3 linked regions of the Styela clava genome follow. The protein of the gene in region 3 purifies or fractionates together with the protein of the main gene of each other region. This does not show direct contact. Links are inferred from orthologs where the notes say so. Each region holds a gene or a part of one and is shown on either strand. Other genes may lie near its edges.

Region 1 (7,873 bases), on a different chromosome or scaffold from region 3:
GTGCGGTGGGCACGTATACGTACCCACGACAAAACTCGCTAGATTGCGGCGGGTACGTTGATGTACTCCACTGTTTTATACAGCAATCGGTCGCAAACTGTTGGTCTAGTTTTTCCGGGTTTTAGTTTGTTGATAAGAAGTCTTCATCGAGATTAACCCAAGCGACGGTAAATCTCGCTTTCGTTTACCATGGGAATTTTATTTGCGGCGGAACGAGGGAGTGTTTTTGAAATTTATGCAAATTTCGGTATTTTTTGGGTGGTAATAGAAGACATATTATCCCTTCCATCTACCAAAGTATTTTGAGTTAGATAACGAAATTGCTACAGCAATATTATGCTATTGTTTGCCAACCAAGAAGCGGTAACAGTAAAGGATTTAGCGAATATTTCTATTTTTTATCACGGTTTGAAGTTTCAACACCCAAGAAAAAAAAATGCCTTTTTTCTATCCGGTTTGTGACTCAGACCACCCCTTTTGAAAAAAAAAAAATTTTTAATCGCCAATTGCAAGCTCTTTAAATAAGCTTTCCAACGAGACGTCAGTGGGCAGCAGAGGATCATTACTTTTTCGTTAGTCGATCGATTAGTTGTGGGGGTACAAATGCATAAAGTCGGCGTAGCAAATACGATTATTTAATAAAAAATAAAAATCGCATGGAAAGGGTTAAATCTATATTCTAATTTTGCATAGAAAAATCATCTGTTTTTGGGTAGTAGCCATGAAATGATGCTTTTTCTATTGTTTTTAACAACTGGTTTTAAAAAATATCAATGGATAATGCCTTTTTTGTTATTTTGTTAGAAATGAGAAATCTGATATTGAAAACAGAAAAGAAAATAGGAAAAAATATTTGAGAAGTGTCTCAGTATTCTTGATTTGATGAAATTGAATCAAATTTTAATGTAGATATTACTGAAATTTAATACATTTAACAATACATTTTTAATACTTTTTCATCTCTCGTGTAGAAATATATTGAAAGATCTTTCTGTTTCTTTTCGCAGGTTGAAGTAAACAGAAAACATAATAAATTATCAACAATATGGTTGGCAGTACATGAACATGGTGTTAATGAATTGAACTATGTTACAATGGTTTGTATTTTGAACACTTTATTGTCAGTGATTTAAATCAGGGGTGTGCAAGCTGGGGCTCGTGGGCCTAATGCGGCCCTCAAGGAAAAAATTGTGTGGCGCTTGGAGAGGTGCCAATTTTGAATGATGTGCGACCCGTGAAGGAGTTTTTAATTTAATTTGGTGTCTGCGAGTAATTCCAATCTTTTTGCATTGAAAAGCCTATACCCGAGTCCAATTTATTATCTATGCCTATGACTTTACAATGCCGTAACAGCTGGCTTGTGCAAACAACGCAAGATCAATAACCAAATTTTTGTGCCTGCAACTAATAGGTAGCCTATGCTAAAAAAGATGCGGCCCGCAGTTTCACCCAGTTATTTGTATCTGTCCCTCTTGTATTAATAAAGGTTGCACACCCCTGATTCAAATTATCATTTCTTATTTTACTAACAACTGGTCTGATTGAGTGAATTAATATTAAGCTGTCTTATGAGTTTTAAATTTGAAGCGAGTAATCATTCTTATACTTATATAAACATGCATATTGTAGGCCTGTATTTGTTTCTTTTTGTTGGGTTATATATGAAACTTGTCTTGAAAAATGAAAACGAAATTTTATGTCAGATTTTTGAAACAAAACAATTTTTTTGACTTACTATTTTTTACAGCCCAAAAGGTGCACTTTAATTCTTTAATAACCTATTGTGTCTTATAGCCCGGTGCGCCTTATGTATAAATAAAAACCCAATCTAAGCATTTATTGACATGCGACTTATGGTCTGTGGAATGCGGTAGTCCATATTTTCTGGTCATCTTTTTTTTTCTATATTCAGGCCATTGAAAACACTTACAAGTACCTAAATATCATGACATATGGTGGATGTGACAACAGATTCATGATTGTTGTTGAAAAAGAAGGTGTTCCTGAAAAGCATTTCTACTCCATGTCTAAGGAGAAGGTCTGATTGTTTTAATATTATTACTGCACTTCAGATTGATATACCAAGAACAATTAAAAAGACTGGCTGACCAAAAAAATAGGGTCTTAGTAGTTCTTTTGATTGACTTATAGTCCATCTGTCTTCAAAACTTCTGTCATCATTACTTTTACATCACTTGACCTGGCTAAATTTTTTCGCATTTTTGATAATAATTTAATAATAATTAATTGATAAAATTTGATAATACTGGAAATCATAAAAAAAAATACTTTCAATGAAACCGGTGTGCTTGTATATTTTTGCACTAAAGATGGAATTATAAATTAGTGTCAAAAAAGATTTTACCGTGACCCAAATTGAGCTTTTTTGCGACCCACCGGCGGGTCGGGAACCCTAATTCGAAGAGCTGGTGAGTGTGACAAAATTGACTATACGGAGCACACCAGACGAATGTAGGTCCTTAGTAGTTTTCTTTGTATTCTTTTCTTTGCCATTTTAGAAGTGAAAGCGTTGAATGCCCCATACAAACGTAAAAGTAAAGTTGCAGTATCATTGTCCAGATACTGCCACTTTGGCATGTATGCTTTCAATTATCGTAATATAAAATCCGTTGCTTTGCAGGCATCTGAGATTGTTCATCTGATGACCGAATACATGAAAGTATTCACCGCAAAGAAGAGATATATTCCATGATGCTGCTAAGCCAACTAGTATTAATCATTGATATTGCATTCTAAAATGGGCGTCAGCTATTAGGCATGTGTAGTATTGGAAGATGTGAAATAAAAATGAGTCTTCTAGCTGGAATAAATGGAAACCGTCTGCATTAGGATGCTCATCTTGGAGCATGATATTTATCTCAAGAAAAAGGAATTGGATTTCGTATATATGGAGCTTTACACTCTTTGTTAATAATTACTGAGTATTTAGGAAGGATATCAGAACCGGGATCATTGGTGTTTTTGATAACTTTTCTATTGTGTGAGGGCCACCAGGAAAAGATCTTGTTTCAAAATACTCGCAATTAGTGATATCTTTATATTCATAATGATTTTTGAAATTAATGCTGTTCATCATGAAATCACTGATTATTTCTATGGAACTTTCTTGAACAATAAGTTCCATTTTGGTTATTTGAATTCAAATTTTCCTGAGGGGAATCTTTTGAATAATCCCTACTCACAGTATCAAATGTTGTGGTTTTTGAATTTCATATATTTTTTTTTCATTTAAACTGTATACTATATTTTATTTATGATGCACTTATTGATATCATTTATAATTTTGGTGTTTTAGCAGCTTGGTGCAACTTGAAGCATGGTTCTTAATATTTTTGATCCTTATATTATTTCTTATTCGTCAACATTAGGTATTTGGAATTACCTCTTCATTTAAGAAGTAAAAGAATCGAAAATTGAATTTGTGCTATGTTTATAATTTTGTGGTAGACTTTGTTAGTTGGAAATGTTAGTGGGGCTTCCGAAAGAGTTTTGTTCAGTTATCCTGGTAGAGAGGAAAAGTGATAGGATGGCTGTTGGTCCGGCAAAAGCTCTTGCGCCAAAGACTTACGTTCCTGAGAGCCTGTAATGGCTGTCACTTTCGTTTGCCGAATTATCCTCCACTAAGCGCGCTTTCATCTATACCTGCTTGAGCCACGAAGTCTAGTTTCAATTTCCAGGAAAATTGATGCGTCACTTTGTTGGCATTCACTTCCTAAGCGAAGAAGCCTCCAATATTCCCAATGAGGATTTTAGTAAATGGATTGCTCAGCTAGTGATTATGAAATTTCTCTGGTATTGTGTGAATTCCAGAATGAGTTTGTTACCATAATTTGAGAGAAAAAAGGTTCAACCATGGCTTCTTGAAGTTCATATTTACTTGTAAAAAGATTCTACCATTTTGGGATTCTTACATGCTCTGCGAAGGCGTTGACGCATTCCACAAAAACTAAAGTAATGCAAAAAAAAAAACGAAATACGGTACCGTACTGCCTTTTCCTTGGATGCTTCGTAAGCAAACCCCTGGAGCATATTTTATAAAATCTATCTTTCATGCATTGCCAGTGGTAGGAAAGTATTTACATGTTTATCTTGGGGGAGAGGAAAGTCGATGAGACGGCAAACCACGGCCCCTCTTCTGGTAAGGGATTATTCGATGAATACATTAGTTTTATTGATAGCTGCAGTAGAGGGTAAAATACATCATAGGTAATAATTTAATCGAAAAATTAAACATTTCAAAATGACGAAAGAACAAATAACCGGCTATATATTCCTAATATCTGTCCTAGGTTGGAAACCAAATTCAGAGAACGTAGTTTTCAGTATGTGTAAGGCCTCATAATGGTTCTTCGAAAAATCTATTTGAAGATTTCTCATTTTAAACTCATAAGTAATCGAAACAATCACTGAAATCATGCTAGATATTTAGTCCAAACAGTTTAGAAAAAATGTTGAGGCTTTAATATAAGGACATTTGTAACAGTAATCAGCCCTGTGTAAAAAGGTTCATGAAAATTGACTTGTATCTCGAGAAAGTGGGATGATAGGAAATGATTGAAACCTCCGAAGATTCGGAGTGTTCGACTTGGTTTTCACCCTTATGTCTTGAGATTGTCAAGTATATAAAATGGCGTAGCATGGTTGTTAAAATTTTAGTCGGTAAAAATTGATATTTGCACTCAGATATTTGTTCGACATTAAACGAAATAATTATTCGTTTATATCGAGTAATATACATTTCCGCGTTCAACGTTTTCCGGTAAATAATGAATCCGCGTCGTTTTGCCCTCCAGTGGTAAAAACAATTTCTTGTATCCGACTGTGGGTATTTTGTCAACTAACCCAGGGCCAGAGGCAAGATCGCTTTGTTTGCAGCTCTTACATTATTGTTTAGTGTTCTATTCCGTCTCTTGTGGGAATTTGCTGGTGTTTCATCATTTTGTATGTTTTATTCTCCTAGTTGACGATATTTACATTGTATCTATAGTTGTGCAAGGCACATGGAAAACTAATTAGTACAGTTTCCACAATATGTTCAGTTCTGGTTTTGGCAACACGCCAAAGAAGAATATGGTAAGTTGTTTTTTTACTTGAAATTTTTGATAAAATCATTGAAGCTATGAATTTGAAATTCTTTATTAATGTGACACTGAACTATTTCTCAATCTTATTCAATTATATAAATTCATTTCTAAGCTCTTTGAAGATAACGACATGACAGGAGGACTTGAAAGCATGGGGTATCTTAACTCTGGAAGTTCTGTAGCGGACGTAAGTAATTCATGTCATATGTTAGTCAAAGATTCAATATTTTTAGTTTTGATCTAACCAAGGTAAACAGTGCATTGGTTTAACCATTGCGGCATAATTGCTAAAAACTCTCGAATGCTGCTCGTAAAATTTTTGTCTTTTAATTAGATAATTTTTTTACAAGGAATCCAACGGTGATGTTTTTAGATTGGGCTTACTTTTAGATTATTGCGCAGTGTCATTTCGCGGTGTCTCTGAAAGGAGGGGTTTGCACTCACTGTTATAATTGATGTCTGTAATATGGGGGCTATTCCTGGAATCGCAGAACTGTGCCTTGCTGATGTAGCAGCCCATGAGCCCTATATCTGTATATTGAAAAGGCTATTGAAATAGCGAATGGAACCAGAAGTGAAAGTATTTTTGTTGCAGAGTGATTCATGTGGCCACTGGTCTGTTTCGACCTCATCCGCTATCAGAGTATGACTGGAATTGGTGACAGGACAAGAAACCTTGGTCCACCATATGATAAAGCAGTCTCTTTTTTCCTGTGATAGATATAAAACAATATCTTGTTTTTAGTTTTCCATCCTTGTATCTGGTTGCATAAAATGTTGTATTTAGCAAACATATTAGAACTTCATGCAGCAAATCTTAATCAAATAAAACTTCAATCGCCGCCATCTAAACTTAAATAACAAATACATCTCACTCTAAAAAATTTATTGGTTATAGATTGTGTTTGTTTGATTTTGAAACTTTTTTTTTTTTGCAGATGTTAGGGCAGTCTCAATCTTCACAATTTTCTCCATTATATGGACAGCAGAGTAAGTTAATTTCGTCAAAATTCATAGCGTTTCTAATCGAATACGAATTAAATTATCGTAAAAAAAATTTTTTGATGTGTGAATGCTACATGATAATTTACAGTTACTACTTCAAGCTGTGATACTTGAACCTGTAGGATAAAATGACATTGAAATATTCATTTTCTTTAATTTATTTTAACAGAATCCAATACAATGGGAGGTTTGGGTCAATTTGGTCGGAGTTTTTCAATACCAGGGAATTTAACACCAACAAGTTTAGGAGGAGAAATGTTAAATCAACAACAACAACAGCAGAACAGGTTCGCTCAAAAAACATTTTCACTGATTTTTTACACATATATTTTATGTCTTTTGCTTGGAACAAGGACTTATACAAGCAGGCCCTGATATGTAAGTCTACTATTTTCAGGATCACAATCTTGTCGGGTCGGCATTGCCTACCCATTTTATTACACCCTGGGTGAGTTGGTGGGTGTGGGATTTGAACCTGAGACTTGTTACCTGTGTTTCCAACACAGTTGAGTCTAAGGCTTCAACGCAACGGTTTCCAAACTTTTTGTTCGTGTGGTGCAAAATTATCAGGGAAAACTCAAAACTCAAGACGCACTTACTCGAAAAAATGCTGCTTTCAAGTAAAACTCAGTTTTGTGATCGTTTATGTTTACTCCATACCTTTGCTATAGCAACTTTGATTTACGGGAACCAGAGCTCTGAGAACAAAGAGCCGCATGTTGCCGATCGCTGATATAGAATATAATGCAGGAGCTTGTTCCATCTATGTGTGACCCATATTAACCTGATTCAGACGCCCAATCGAGCCCAATTTTGAATAGATTTTTATTAATGTCATACGACCCCCAAAATTTACCCAATATACAATAATTATATACCATTGGAAAGGTATTTTAGAGTACTATACGCTAGATGTCACTGGAGGACCGTAAACTAAAACACCTCTTTCAAGAGGTCTCTCGTAACGTCAAAAAATAACAAAAATATTTACACTCTCTCATTCTATCAGCTGTTGGACGTCTATACCTATTGTAAAGCTGAAATGTAACTATACAGTTGACTGCACATTGGTTTTCTCTTTCATATGATACTAAACGCTTTTCCATAGCGCGCAATGTTCAAGCGTTTTGGAAATTTTCCGTTTGAGAAGGCACCACATCGAATCAGGCCAGGCTAAGCTTGATAGATCGATCGGTTGTTTGTTTGTGCTTTATCGCGTTGAAAGCTTTTGTGAGTCATAATAAAACATTTATTATGAATCATAAAAGCTTATAATCGTCAGACAAGGAGAATTTGCGAGATAAAAGCCTAACTTTTTTTTCGGTGAGGCAGCTGCGATCAAACGACTCGATATTTTTATAACTTCCTGACGTTGTGAGATGTCCACTCTCCTATGTTATGTAGCATATAAAATGACCTTCAAAATAAGACCTTATCATACTAGCTTTTGTTATTGGTTAGCGCGCAACGCCAAGGTTTATGGAATCATTTTCTTGTTGTGCGACGTTTTTATATCGCAGCGGGAAGTACACGCGTGATATGTAAGCGAAATTTTATCACTTCTAAATGTCATATAAGGTTCATTCTCATATCGTTGTGTGGGGAATAAGATTTCCTTTCAAGCAAGACCATAACAAACATTCCAGACCTCATGGTATACACACAGCATTGCAAAACGTCTGAAACGTCGCGCATGCGTCAAACCGGGAGGATTAGGTTAAAGAAAGATTATTTTCATATATTTTTTTGTTAAAAGAACTGAT
Region 2 (7,979 bases), on a different chromosome or scaffold from region 3:
AAAAAACTTTGTTATTTAACAAAAAATACCAATCAGAAAAAAATATTTCAAAACTAACTCCTACTCCTGTATATCAATATACATGCTTGCTGACATAAAGTTGGTAACAAAAATTAACTAAGACACGCAAAATTTAGAGTCATACACTCAAAAATAAACCATTTACAATACAAGTGAATGGCCATTACAATTGCAATTAATTGTATAAAAATACTGATACACTGGAACAGGAGTGAATTTTTTTAATAAATTATGGAGAGTTGCATAGTGTATGAGCACCGTTTAAATACCCATACACTAAAGCAAAGAATAATTTTTTCAATATAGGTATTGTGAAGTGTTGTAAAGTGTGAGAGTGCTGTTTTAATATACGTTTGTGAAAGAATTTAATTTTGGTATTACCAGTAACACCACAAACCTGTGGAATGTCACCCATTTAACATTATCCATGAGGACAATGCCTGATGTCATTAACAGCTCTGCGAAATATAAAGGTTCTACTCCCTCGTCTTCGTGTTGTTTAAATTGAATTCCGCTTTCATGCAGTAGATCAATTGATTCTTGGGCGTACATATCCTCGCTAAATTAACGAGATAGAGAAACGATAAAATCATAAAACATATGGTTACCAATTGCATTCCATATGATAATATGCATAGTATATTTGAAAAAATATTTCCCAGAATTGTGGCCCTACTCATAAAGAATATTAACGCTACACTTTTTTGATGATTAATTCAATTGATATTTTGATCTAAACGTCTCAAAATTACACAGGGTCAAATACATTACTATGACACATTCTTTTATTTTAACTTGGTACTTATGGGTTGTGCTGGCATACTTAGATACAAAAATCGAGGCTCCAGTCCAGAAGTGTGTGTACCAATATGGAAGTAACTAATTTTGTTCGCTTACTCTACAAGTTGTATAAACACGGATTAAAACCTATGGGCAAGGCGTATATTCACTTGGCTAACACAGACAGTCCCCGAACTCGTAATAGAACTAAAATAAGGAAAATCGGAATAAAATTATGCCCTAACCTGGTACTCACACTACGGGAGTACCCAAAAATCAGATAGGCCTACAAATACCGGATATAATAATCATAAAAAATGCCTAAAATTTTGCATAAACACAAAAGTGAACTTGTATGTATAAATCTATATTAGAAAAATTAAAGTCATGCATTCAGCTCAATTGGATATAATTTATAGGGTGACCGTACATTTGAACCCACGTACATTTGAACCCATGTGTATATCCACGGGTTCAATCTATATGCAGGTGCTAAAACCCATGGGTTAGGGTTAGTATGGGTTCAACTATCCGAAAAACAAAAAAAATTCCATAGGTGCAATAGCATACAGGTACAATTGTCATGGGTTCAAATGTAATGGAACCAATTTATAGATGCAATATTGGACCAAAAGAAAAAGTGCTGGTCGAAATAAACTGGTTAAAAAACAGTTATTTACATTCTAAAATATACCAAGAAAGGATTACAGTAAATTAAGCAATAAAAAGTCTTGAATATAACTGTATAAATACAATTTCGGCATATTTACTCAAAAATGTAAAAAAAGGCACAATCAATATGGTGGAATTATAATAAAAACCTTATTTTACAATTTACTATTTAGGTGAATTTTCAAAACAAAAATAAACCAAAGAACTATTTATTGATAACAAACTCACTTCAAACTGAAAGCAAAGTTGAACTGCCATGTTGATATTCCAGGTGGAGTTTCACCCTTGTCATTCATAAAAGTCAATCCTAGTTGAATTATTTTCAAAAGATCGACATTACATTTTAAAAGTTGATATTGATAGTCTGAATTGCTTCGAAACTCTCCAATTGGCCTTGCAACAACACCAGGAAATTCTGTGTCCTAAATTAAATGTTTATATTAGTAATAGTATCTGGGTCAAGCCTACTCTCAAGCCTATATTTTTACTTTAACAATCGGAACAAACAGATATTTCCATATGAAATAAATATTTGGATACATTTAAATTCGATTATATTCAATATGATTACTTGTTGATTTTAGGAATAATTTAGAATTTTTCATCTGACAATTTTTCATCTTCAACATTTGACCTCTATCAGTCAGACTAGGGAAGTCTGAGAGTTACCCCAATATTTTAAAATCTATTCATTATGACACAATAGGAAGTACTATTTCAGTATGTCTTCAGAACGCATTCTTGTCATCAATGGTTGAAAAAAGGTTTATTCATTGACTAAGGTTTGGGGGTCAAACTATGATAGAATATATAAAATGAGAAAAAATTTACTTATTTTTCAATAAAAACATAGATGAATAAAACTTCAACACTGAGCAGTTCAGCATTATTTAACCCATACTGTACAAAAATTTATATTTCTCAATTTATATTTTTTACCTGATTCGAACTGGAAATTAAATTCATATTCTCAGGTTAAAATGATGTTATACCGGTATTTATATGTTCAAATACATTAAGTGACAAACCACTAAAACAACGATTCGGTTTTTCAACAATATCGCGTTTCCATTTCTCTGTCTAAATTTATGAAAATCAACTATATAAGATTTTCATATTTATCCCGGGGGAGAGGGAATGCGATAAGACGGCTTAATCATATGGCAAACCACGGCCTCTCGAACGGTGACCAGTTCATGTCAGGTATGGGGTTAGTTAGCCAGGTATTAGTTTTCAGAAGCTTGGATATAAAAAATACAACATTATATAACAGTAAAATGGATTATTGTACCGGTAATCATCCAGCCTGTTGCAATATGATAAAACGCTTACCATAGAAACATAAGGATAATGATGAATCAACTTCCTAATTTTTTTGAATTCTTCGTCAACATTTGATGCCCAAACTTCGAGGATTGGATCATCTGCATTCTGACCAGGCATCTTCATATGCTAGTGCTATTTTTAAAGAAGTCGAAACACAGAAACAGTCTTAGGCTATTTGATTTTTCATTCGCTTTATTTTATTTAATGGAAAAAGAACATAAAATAATAATCACCATAATTTTTACAATTTTAACAGTAAAGTACTGTTATATTATTAACATTTAAATATAGCATGTAAAGAGAAGTTTTTTTGAAATATTAGCTTTATTTTAATACTTCAACACCACCTGATCGTACCAACATAAATAATTTTAAGCAAACGCAATTGTCAGGTTGTATGTACCATGTTTTAAATCAAATCCTACGCGGTTAAAATTGTGGAACGAATACTGTAAACTGAAACTAATGTTTTTAAACAATCATCAATTAGAAGAAAAAACAAAAATATTTTATAAATGTTATAAAAACTCCAACTTTATCGCTGTTTTATTAACTCCCTTTCCCAACTGTATAAATATGAAATTTCAATCTGATACGAAAACTGAGACAACATACGGACATCATAACAAAATCGAAAGATGAATACAACAGGGATTGATTCAGATATTTTATTTTGTGACAAAGAGTATGATATACTGCTATTTCTAGAAATTCCGCTTGAATACCGAGTATTCAACTATATATGTGTAAATAGTTTGCAGTGTAACTTACAGTGTAACATTTTTAAACATTCATTTAGTGGCATATTTTTGATTTGTTCTCTCTGTGTGTATACCGGTACTGTTTTAACAATGTTGGCCACGTCAATGTATCAATTAGGCTACAGACCTGCTCATGTGTGATTAGTGTTTTTCCTAATAATTGCTTTTATGAGTGTCCGCACACCGAATTTGCCGCCATGGTTTTGCGTTTGTTTGTATATGAAACCACTTATCACCTTTTCTGCAATGCCCAATCTAGCAATCAGTGTAGTTTTTCGTGGCTTGGTTTTTCCCAAAGCTTTCATGGCTTCATGAGTATGACTATCGTCGCAAATTTATTACATTCCACTCCCCACATTATCTTTGCATGAGGTTGTAGGTATTGGTCATTATCAACGTAATTGTTGAAAGAGAGTACAACAGCCCGAAAGTTTATTACTATCGTGTATTTTGTTTTTTAAGTTTGGCCCAAGCTTCATTTAATTGGGCTTGTGTTTTTGTGTGCGTGCTGGTGGGCAGGCACATGAGATACTTCATGTTTTAAACTTTTTTGCAGGTTTTGCTTGCCCTCCAGAATTCTCCATTTTAAATTTAGGTTTGCTATGAAGTTTTCGAAATAAACTATCTATCTATCTATCTGTGCGCACTTATTATTTCCGCGTAATATTTTCAATCCAGTTGCAATCTTCATTAACATATTAGGCCGCGAGCCGAGGCCCTGAAAAACGCCTAGAAAATGAGTTTCGTAGCGCACATCAGGTAACTACCTGAAAATGATTTTAAAATGTTCCTTAAAAATTTAGTAACAAATATTGCCTTGTTCCCACGTCCAAAAGTTGCACGTTTTACGGAAAAGACGCTTTTACTACAAGAAATATGTGCTACGATCTGTCCTATATTCTCTACATTGTCGGCACTGAACAATGACTTCTGTTACAGGCAGAAATTTAACTTTCGTGAACTAACCTATTAGTTTTAGTTATTCTGGTCCCGATAAACATGTTCAGACTTGCTCTCGTTTATTTATTTGTTTATTTATATTAAGCGTCACTGACCGAGAGAAAGTTTGAAGTCTTGGCAATGATGGTGCAATACTCTCTTATATCAGCTGATTTGTATTCATGCCCTTGTTTTTCTTATTGTATTATACTAAATGTCCTATTTATTAGTGTGGGAGACAGTGCAATGAGGCCTGGTCACATGAATTTCTTTGTTAGTAGCTGCGATTACTTTGCGGCATTGAGTTGCAAATTGTAGGGTTTTGATTATGCTAATTTAGGATTGTTAGGATGTTTAGGGTTATTTAGTAATATAGGTTCTAATTGAGTTGTATGTCGAAGGCTAATTATACTCTTTTATTGTTTTTGTGTCTTGTAGCTAAATTTAAGTACTGTTGTTGGGCTGGAGACACAAATATATTGTAACCACATCATACAACACATCATACAATACACATACAATACATTTACATACAGACATCAAGTTTTGACATTCACTGTGTTACACTGCCGTTATACTTGCTGTGGAAATTTATCTATCTACTGTGGAACTTTTAACCTGATTGTGGAATTTTACTGGACTGTGACTTGTATATACTGTAAATATACTTTCATTACAAGTTCTTTCATACAAGTTGGATGTGTTTATGTGTGCGTTACTACTGTGTCGAGAGTTAGCTACGGAAGTAGATTGACAAGACAGCCCAATAATCAGAAATAGGACCTGTAGAACCTCTTAACTCTACATTAAGTTACAATATATGTCTCGACTGTTGTCTTGAAAGTTTAAAGTCAAGTGAAGATGTCAACTGTTTCTGGATCAACTACTAAGTCATGTATGTCTGAAAGAGCAAAGGCAGAGAAGAGATTGCGACTTGCAAATCTGAGAAAGCAACAAATTCTGAAGCAAGCTGAGTTGAAACGTAAGCAACTTGAATTAGATTCTCAAACTTTAGCAGCCGAAGCAGATGCTGAAGAAGCTCAAATTGAGTATGATATGCTGTCAAGTGCTAGCCATTCAAGACAAGGTTCAGTTGTTGACGGGTCAACATTTTATGGATTTGAGGCTCAATCTAGTTCTGAGAAAGTTGTCAAGTCAACTCCGATTACTGATCATTTGAAGTTATTAAGTCAAGATGATGTGGCTGATACGTCACTTCCGCCTCCTATGAAACCATCAAATGTGTCGGACTTTGATCCAGAGAAAGCAAATAGAATCTTGCGGCAAATTTTTACTCCTATGGCAAAGGATGACAAAGGATGTATGTTGGATCCGAACGTTCCATTCATATCAAATGAGAATCAAATTCCATCACCTGCGAAGAATTTGGTGAGTGATATTATGCATGATCATAGATTTGATGCCAGTACAAATCAGCATCTCATTCGCTTGATTCCCACTGAAGTGCCGAATGTTGAACCTGTAAACAGGTCAGCAGCCCATGAAATTAAGATTGAGTCACCGGGTACTATAAGAAGCCATGCTAAGATGGAATATGGTATGCCGGATCACACTGTTCATGCGATGGCGCAGCTGACGCAAGCTTTACAGGGAGGAATGCTGAATGTAGCAAATATCATTAAGCAAGGTTTGATGTTCCCTCATATTAAGATGACAACATTTAAAGGAGAAATTCTTAAATATACAGAGTTTGTTCGAGAGTTCAATACTTTTATTGGTTCGAGTCAATTGGATGTTGCTCAGAAATTGAATTGTTTGATTTCCAATTGTGAAGGTTCTGCTAAAGAAGCAATATTGTCATGTGGTTCTTTACCTGCAGAAAGAGGTTATGAACTGGCACGAAGTATTTTGCATCGAAATTATGGTCAGAGGCATCTCATAATTGATGCACATATGCAATTACTTACTGAAGGTCCCTCAATAAAGGCAAATGATGTTAATGCATGGGATGAATTGGTCACCCAGGCACGGAATTGCCTCATTGTATTCAAGGAATATGATGCCAGATGTAGTTTGGATGATTTAACTACATTAAGAAAGATTGTAAAGAGATTTCCAATACAACATTTATGGAAATTTGCTCACATTGCTAATGAGAAGTACACCAATGGAGATATTGTCAATTTTGATACTCTTCTTACATTTATGGAGACAGTTTCAAATGTGAATAGATCTGGATTTGGTAAGCTTGCACTTGAGACACATAAAGGAAAGAAATATGTTGACAGTCCGAGTCAGCGGGGCAACCGCAGTGTGTCATCATTTCTTATTTCTGAAGAGTCATCTTCTAAAGCACCCACAGCTGATCCTAAGTTGAGTAATGCCACGTTGAGAAAACCACTACGAGAGTGCGTTGTGTGCAAATCTGATCATCAGTTGTGGAGGTGTGAAGAATTTAAGAAAAGGAAAGCCAAAGAGATGTTCGAGATTGTTTCCAGGAACAAGTTGTGTTTCAATTGTTTGCTTCCAGATCATTTTGCAAGCCAGTGCAAGTCAAATTATCATTGTAGAGCACCAGGTTGCAATAGAAGACATCACACACTGTTGCACGTTAATAAGAAGCCTGATTCAGTGAAACCAAATGGTAGTACAGATGTGCAATCACCTCAAGATGTGAGGTCTAATGAGGCCGGAGCTACGACCGCCAATGAGGCCGGTGTAACTTCGACTCAGTTGTGTGCTACTGAAGTTAAACCTGCCACCTTTATAAGAAGAAAGGTGGTTCCTGTGCGAGTATGGGGAACCGATAATCAATCATACGACACATATGGATTCATTGATGATGGCAGTAATGTTAGCATTATAAAAACTGAGCTTATGAAGAAACTTGGTTTACATGGCAACAGCGACCCACTCGTAATTAAGACGTTGGGTGGAAAAATTGAACATAAATCAAGTCCTGAAGTGTCACTGAATATTCAAGGACTCAATGAAACTAGGATTATTCAGATGCATGGAGTTCGAGTGTTGGACGATCTTCCCTCGGATTTGGAATGCAACATACCGTCTAATAGTGCGATGGCGAAATACGAATACTTGAAAGATATCAATTTTCCAAATGCAAAGAATGCAAAAGTTGAAGTCCTGATTGGTGTAGATGTGCCTGAAGCTCATGCGTGTTATGGAATGCGACGTGGGAGTAATTCAGAGCCATTTGCTGTACATACTGGTCTTGGATGGGCATTATTCGGGCCGGATGGTAAATTTCATCAACCAAGTGTAAAACATCTTGATTGGATTCATTTGGATAATGAAGAATTGCATGTTCAGATGGAGCAAGCTTTTCGGAATGAATTAAAGGATTCTAATGTCAGTGGATTTGACACTTTACCATCTATTGAAGACAAACAGGCTTTAAAGATCATGAATGATTCAATTTGTAAAGTGAATGGAAGATATCAAGTCAAGATTCCATGGAGGTCATCTGATATCGAGTTGCCTGATAATAAGCAAGTTGCT
Region 3 (7,491 bases):
TGATTCAATACGCAAATATAAGTGAATGCGCAATAGTATGTTACAATGAGCAGCAATCAACAATGAGTAAATATCCTCACTGATTAAAAAAATCTAACTGGAGGTGCATGAACTATTTGAAACCATAAGGGGTAAGTAAATATGTAATTTCGGCAAATGGGCAACCACGTACCGTACTGAATTAATAACTTCGTAGTATTTGACAAAGGCTGGCTTTCCCACATGTACTTAACAGTGCGATGCCCGGGTGTGATATACCACAATAGTATTTACTTTACCTTTTTCCGATTTCTTTTTACCTTAACTTTCCAAAATATCATTAAAATCGACAACAACTGTCGAAGCAGGCACGAACACCATTCGTGCTACGCCTTGAAGGCAGCACACATCCGCTCGTTTTCGTCTCGTCAAGTATGTGCATTGGAGCGTGCTATCGAATACGATCTTCGGACAAAAATGCCGGAGTTGCGCATCATGCTGTTTAATGTCATTGGTTACGGATATAAATAAGAAAATCAATGCTCGGAGAAACACCTATTAATTTTGTTCGTTTCAAAAATTCTATGGGATTCGATTCTGGTGAGCTACTTTGTTTGGGCTTTGTGTTCATATATTTGATTGGGCATCACTCTATCGTTCAATTAATACTCAATGAAAAACTGACATAATTTATTGCCAGCAAAGCAAAGGGAAAGTGCTTTTCGAGAATAATCCATGTTGCTATTCTCAACTATTGGTACTATCTCAAGGTGTGTTCAGCTTTGAAATCTTTGGATCTTCATGCAAACGTTATGCGACCGTTCCAATCGTAGTTAATTTTTTACCTTATCTTTCACCAACTTTGAAATATAACATTTTTTATTCTGAAAAACACTGAATGTGTTTTCAGTTCTTCTTCTAAATTACTTATCATTAAATCCAACGATTCAAGTTTCTATATTGTCTTACTTTTACAATACAACGTTGTCTTGAAAAAGAAGCCCCTCTTGTTGGCCACCTGTTTCGGTGTTAAAAAATAGAAGACGCTTATATATACATGTGCACATATGTAACAAGAGAGCTATGCTCAAATATATGGACACGTAGCGCCACCCAGTGGAATAAATTTTGATGACGTCATAGCGAGAGAGAAATAAGTAATAGCCTTCTGGAGAAAAATTTTATCTTTAACCACTGAAAATATCAAAGCAATTGGTCCAGTATTCGAAGAGAAAAGCGATTTTCCAAAAATGGAGACGGAGACAAAAGAGACAAATAACAATAACAACAAAATTTTGAAACGATCGTTATGGCCACTAAACGTGTCCAATAAGAGTTATTTAGGTTTACTTCTTTATCAATCGGTAAATGCAGCACATAAACAAAGCAAAAGGTTGTCGGTGCAGATTGTGGATCGTGAGCCACATTTCAAGTTTTAAAGTTGGTGCTAAATTTTATTTTAACAAATTTGGAGACGAATTTGTTGTAGGCCTGAATGCACTAGGACAGAAAACGACTATAAAAGTAAAATTAACGAAAGTTACGCAAAAGCAGAACATTTCAGATCCAAGTAGTAGAAATGCTGTGTGCCGGCACCTGATTTAAATTTTTTTCTCGGAATTTCTAAAAACTTTCCTTTTCTTATAAAGTACCGTAAATGCTCGTTTTAACATCCGGTCTTGATTAAAGGGTCCGTTTGAATAGCCGCTCGTGTGAACAGGGCATAAAAATAAATAAGGGCCGGTGCTTGAATACCCGCCCGGTGTAAAAGTTTTTTTTTTGCGGATTTGTACCTGCGGTGCGTAGAAAAAGTCAAAATTTTCATTATTCTCGTTTAAATCATACTTGAGAACTGGAAATGACAATATACGGTATTAATTATTGTAACAATCGATCTCATCTACCGGGATTTTTGTGTGTAATTTTACTTTAAAAATAACAAGCGCCCCTGCTTGAATGAGGGCCGGTTTGAATAAGGGCCCGGTTAGTGAGTATGTTAAAAAAATAAGCGCCGGGCTATTAAACGAGCAAATACAGTAGGCTAAATGGAGCCACATTCAGCCGATAGGAAATGTTTTCAAGTACGCTACGTCGCTAATTTTCAACCAATGATATTCAAAAATCTAAATTTTTTTTTTAAATCTACTGAACAGCTTAAGAATAATCGGTCTAATTAAGAATAATAGTTTAATTAGCCACATCCCCACGCGAAGTCTTATCTTCAATTTCTGCATGTGCGTTATGTATGCATTCAAGTGATGAAGCCAGATAAACGAATTCGACTTTCATTGGAGCGTATATATTTATATTTTATAGCACATCTTTTAATTGATTTCTCATGATGCATTTTCCAGAGATTCATCTCGGCCCAACATTGTTACTTATTTGATTTTATATCGAAGTATAACTTTCGGCAATCTCTTGCGTAGTGGAGTCTGGGTACGTTTAAGGTATATATTTACGGTTTAAGTTACGGGAAACCACAGAGACAACAGCTTCCACACATTGAGGTGTTATATACACCTCAATGTTTGCACAGCACAAGTTCACAAAACACAAGTTCACAAAGCACATGGATTCCAACTATTAAGTTGGAACGCCAGAGCATGGAATGCTCTTGTTATATTTTATTTCGTTTGTTGTCGTTTACTTTTACGCTGCTTTTATTATTGTTGTTTATCGCCCACTATTAGATACGCGCGTTCAGAATCACATTACAGTAAATATAACATACTGTGCACCGCTTGTTTGTTTGCTGTACTCAACACTTCTCGTTATTGGACACGTAGTGGACATAACGATCGTTTCAATATTATGTTGTTGTTGTTGTTGTTGTTCTTGTTCTTGTTCTTGTTCTTGTTCTTTGACACGTTTTTAAAAAGTCGCTTTTCTCTTCAAATACTGGACCAATTGCTTTGAAATTTTTAGTGGTTAAAGATAAAAATTTTCTCCAGAAGGCTATTACTTTTTTTTTCTTGCTATGACGTCATCAAAATTATGTGACTCTACGTGTCCATATATTTGAGCATAGCTCTCTTTTTTTCTTGTGTACAATATACTGTAGTAGAAATTGCGACCTATGTTCAAGTTCCACGCCCAGGTATTTACGTCCGAATTATCTTCCCCGTATTTTTTTAAAATTTGTTGTTTGTTGTTTGAGGCGAAGTGACTAGTTGGCTACTAGTAACTTTGGTTTTGAGGGAAGTGGGCGCGTGGGCACGTCTTGAATCGTTTTGCTAGATTTGCTTATTTCCGAATATTTATTTGTTTTTCCTGTGTTGCTTCTTTGTTTTGTTGTAAAGGAAAATCTAAATAAACTTTCTTACTTACTAATATAATCGTGAGACTATGTGCACGCCATCATGTGTAGAACAGCCGTTTGTTCGACAATCACTTGTCGCGCAAGCAGTTGATTATGGTTCCACGCCATGGGAAATGTGCGGTAGCTCGTTATTGTTCCTCAGGCAGATAGCTGTCCGCGGACTCTCGGGCTGAGTTTCGTTAGTCAATTCATACTGGTTTTGGATGGTAATGATCTCGCAATAGGAGCCAGATCAGGAAATAATATTGTGCTGATTTACAACATTTAATACTTTTAAAAACGTTGAACCCCTAACACTTGAATTTTTGTTAATTTCGTCTGCACTCATTCATGCTTTTCAATTAATTCAAGTGAGACTGCAGTAAGATACCAAGTGAGAATTATCATTTTTTTTTAGAAATATATATATTCATTTGACACATGTAACCCTGGCCCTAAAAATGACAAATGACAGTAGTCACTTATGAATACAGGAATATCGTTGTTAAATAAATTTGCTTGTCCGAGGGTTAAAAAAATCTTATTCAGTTATTGGGCGACTATGCATATTTTATTTTTTTGTGTTCCCCCTTTTTTGAACTAGTCTTCTCAAACTTGATTCCTGTTAACCTTATATCAGTATATTTGGGTTGATATATTTTATTATGTAGGCTACTCGATGAAGGGTCTGCCAAATTGAGATTGGATAGTACCGGTGATCAAACTGGCAGCACCTGTTTCTCATTTTAGGACATTACTGCATTAGATAGGGTATTGACAGATTGAAGTTGATGACCACAAATTTGCTATGATCTCAAATTATGCTCTTGTACTTGAAATGGAGTGGTAATTTGTTGGGGATAGCTGTAGTTCACGATGCTATTAAGTCATCTTATAGACTTTACTTTCCCCTCCAGCCCTCGGATGAATATGTAAATCATGTACTCTTACTGTCTTATGCCATGTTTAAAATCATTGTTGATTTTTCTGAGAGGTCAACTGTCACTGTAAGAAGGTGTTTAAACTAATTTATCTAATTCCTATTCCTTTGTGTTTATGTCTTATATTAATTCTATGATGAATGTTTAAATGCCTAATGATATATAACACCTAATTGCTGAATTGTGAATCGTATATTCTTATCAACAAAATACCATTGCTGTCGGATTGATTGTCATTTAACTGCCTATTCTGGTATTTGTGTGTCTCTCTTCTTCAATCTGCGGAAAGAATTTCCGGATCAAAGCTTGGGTATCCGGCGTGTGAGGTTGCGATATCGCGGGATTTGGGGATATGTTGCCCCGATGCAGCGATGAATCTTGATTCCTTGTCTTTAGCATTATCGCATATCAGCTACCTTGTGGCGAATTTGAGCAAGAAAAATTATAAGTCTGGTGTGCAAGAAATACTACAAGTAAGATTTGTTCAATCTGATCATCGATTTACCGATATAATGATCGTTTTTGTTTAATTTTGATTCATGCATTTTCTGATCAATCTTTTTGTAGCTTACTGAAAGACACGGCCCAGAAGCAGATCGTCATTTATTCCGCTGTCTTTTTTCATCCATTGATTTTGGTGGGGATGGTAAAAGTAACGGAAAAGATTATCATCAGGTAATTTAGTAACAGTTGAATGGTAATCCCGACTACCAGTAATTTAGTCGGTGTGATTTTTTATCATCACAGACTCATGTAGTCTTTATGGTCAATTTGTACTTATATATAACAGTAATGTGTTCAGACTGTTTTAATATTCAATCGGTTGGACTGAACACCAGTACTTGCTAAATTTGGACTCGTTTAAATTCTCAGCATTGCTGGCCTCATTAAATTTGATGTGCAGGGTACCACACCCATGAAATGGGCAACATTTAGAAATAGACTAAGGATATGTGGTTCACAATATTATGAAGCTAATGTGACAAAAACATGAGGAATAACGCTTGGAATTCTTTCATGAAAGCAGATTTCATTTGGATCAATCAATTTGACTCCTAACATGCTTTAATAATATTTAATTTTAAGACATACAGACCAATATCTCTACTCATGGTAATTGCTGCTTGCTATTTTAATATTTGCTAACAGTTTTAATTTGATGGGCTGTATAATATGTAGTATTTTTTTGTTTTGTATACTCTCAATTTTTTCAAACAGGAGCCAACAACTCTTGGGTCTAGTGTAGTTACGTACCTCAAGTACTTCTAGTTGGCGTAGCATAGCAATTTTTGCATATGTCAATGCCAATCCCAACCTGACTGAGTCATCCAAAAATAACGTCACGACAACATCACAGTGACGTAATAAGACCCTGCAAACGATACAAACTGTCATCCAAGACGAGCAGACGGTCACCTGAAATCGAGCAAGCTATTTCTTGGTTTTTTTATTACTACGATCCCAATATGAGAGAGATCGCTGCCGTTAGTGAGTTTTGCATTGTCAGTACAGGTGCCATTTCGCTCGATCGTAAGTATACTTCGGCAAGCTCTATGGAGTGATTGTGACATCGTCGTGATGTAATTTTTGGATGGCGTAGTCACGTAGGGGTTGAGATTGACATGTGCAAAAAATCGTTATGCTACACCCACTAGTATCTGAGGTGAAAACTACACGAGACCCCAACTCTTCACATACATTTATAATCCTACATACATTTATAATTTTGTTTACTTTCAGACTCAACTATTAATATTGCAGTGCAGCACTTTAGCTACAAAACCGGGTTTCATTTCAATTCTCTGTCACTCAGTTGACAGTCCCTTCTCTCATCAAAAATCATTGGTACCTTCTGACTCTCTACTTACCAATATCAGCCGTGTTTTAAAGTTCACAAAAGTACAAGAAGTGACTTTTGCAATCGCTCTGCAACATTCGAGCATTCAGGAAGTTCGAAAACAAGGTATGAGTTCTAAATGTTAAATAAAAACTTCTACATTAGTTAGGCAGAAATACCTGGCAAACAAGTTTACTATTCGGGTAAGTTAATTGAATTTAGGCCATTTTTGTGTCTCATCAAACATGTTGGTGCATTGTGTTAAGTATAAGTGCGAGGAACACACACTGATTACCTTACGCGGTGTCACTGGGTAAAATCTTGTGGGGATAATTACATGTGGGAGGATTACTGGACTCGTAGAGTGGTTCACCTAACCACTAGTCGGTTACGGCTTCCTCCACCATCAAGTTTATTCAAATAACTGACTAACTATTTTCTTATCTGACATGAACACTCATGCCAGGCAAGAGTCCGTGCCATATGTACAAGTCATCTTGTTAGTTTTCTTCAGGATAAATGACATTTTCGCTTGTTATTTTTCAGCTACTGAAGCAATTAAAACTCAGTTACCTGAATTAATCCGATTACATTTGGAAAGCGTTAAAGTTAGTGGAAGAGGGAGCAATTCACAGGTTTGTATGATTTTTTTTTTTATAATTTTCTTTGTCAAATTTTGAATTCCAGTTTGATAATTGAAGTATGATCCCTGTCTAGAATTTTTTGTCACTTCAAGTAGGTTATCATAGGACAAGAAGTATAACTATGAATTATTATGCTAAATTGTTGTTTCTTCTGCTGTAAAGATATCGTTTTCTTAGCAAATAAATAACGAATCAATTTCAAAGTTTCTGTACCTGAAGAAGATTATTGTTTTTATTTTTTATATGATTTATTACAATCCTTTTAACATTTCATATGACATTGGTACAGTTATTTGATTAAAATTTGGGTGTAATATTTCTGACATTATAGTGGCCAAATTACACCTTTGTACTTATAAAACTCTTGTTATTCTGTATAACTTTTTATCTCCAGGACATTGGCCTGCAAGACACTGCCATCGAAGTACTGCACTTACTTCTTAGTTATCTTGCCAAAGATAGCTCTGGAATTGTTTCACCTGATAAAAAGCAAGCTTTTCTTGCCACTCTCAGATCTAGTAAGTAAATTCATATATTTAATAAGAATTAACCATTAGGAGATGACAAGGTCCTTCTGAATCACAAATTGCCGATATGAATACTAATATTTTTGCTGTTCGACAAATGTAATAAAAGATTTATGAAAAGCAAGTTTATCAAACATGCTGACTTAAAAGTGATAACCAGAATCTAGATCAGAATTATGGTTTGTGAATTTTTTGATACATATGGCCATCCAAGATATGAATGAGTTGTTGTATTTCTCCAATGTGTTGGGAAATTTCTGCG

Evidence for each region.
Region 1: the proteins of CCR4-NOT transcription complex subunit 1-like (region 3) and CCR4-NOT transcription complex subunit 2-like purify together in Drosophila melanogaster (affinity purification with western blotting; 4 studies listed by BioGRID, with this or other methods). This does not show direct contact. The link is inferred for Styela clava from reciprocal best matches to the Drosophila melanogaster genes Not1 and Rga.
Region 2: the proteins of CCR4-NOT transcription complex subunit 1-like (region 3) and CCR4-NOT transcription complex subunit 7-like purify together in Drosophila melanogaster (affinity purification with western blotting; 4 studies listed by BioGRID, with this or other methods). This does not show direct contact. The link is inferred for Styela clava from reciprocal best matches to the Drosophila melanogaster genes Not1 and Pop2.

Annotation. Positions count from the first base shown.
Region 1 is NC_135255.1:11,670,388-11,678,260, reverse strand, and holds the start of CCR4-NOT transcription complex subunit 2-like, read left to right. Parts: upstream 1-4,860; 5' UTR 4,861-5,052; coding exon 5,053-5,094; intron 5,095-5,217; coding exon 5,218-5,292; intron 5,293-6,043; coding exon 6,044-6,095; intron 6,096-6,279; coding exon 6,280-6,397; intron 6,398-7,873. Other genes in the region: pleckstrin homology domain-containing family H member 1-like, read left to right, coding at 1,008-1,097, 1,913-2,038, 2,642-2,713. UniProt on the Drosophila melanogaster protein: Component of the CCR4-NOT complex which is one of the major cellular mRNA deadenylases and is linked to various cellular processes including bulk mRNA degradation, miRNA-mediated repression, translational repression during translational initiation and general transcription regulation.
Region 2 is NC_135263.1:10,970,636-10,978,614, reverse strand, and holds the start of CCR4-NOT transcription complex subunit 7-like, read right to left. Parts: upstream 3,014-7,979; 5' UTR 2,923-3,013; coding exon 2,806-2,922; intron 1,896-2,805; coding exon 1,702-1,895; intron 581-1,701; coding exon 419-580; intron 1-418. Other genes in the region: uncharacterized protein LOC120329965, read left to right, coding at 5,361-7,979.
Region 3 is NC_135259.1:12,742,018-12,749,508, reverse strand, and holds the start of CCR4-NOT transcription complex subunit 1-like, read left to right. Parts: upstream 1-4,489; 5' UTR 4,490-4,592; coding exon 4,593-4,694; intron 4,695-4,788; coding exon 4,789-4,896; intron 4,897-5,961; coding exon 5,962-6,184; intron 6,185-6,604; coding exon 6,605-6,693; intron 6,694-7,096; coding exon 7,097-7,220; intron 7,221-7,491.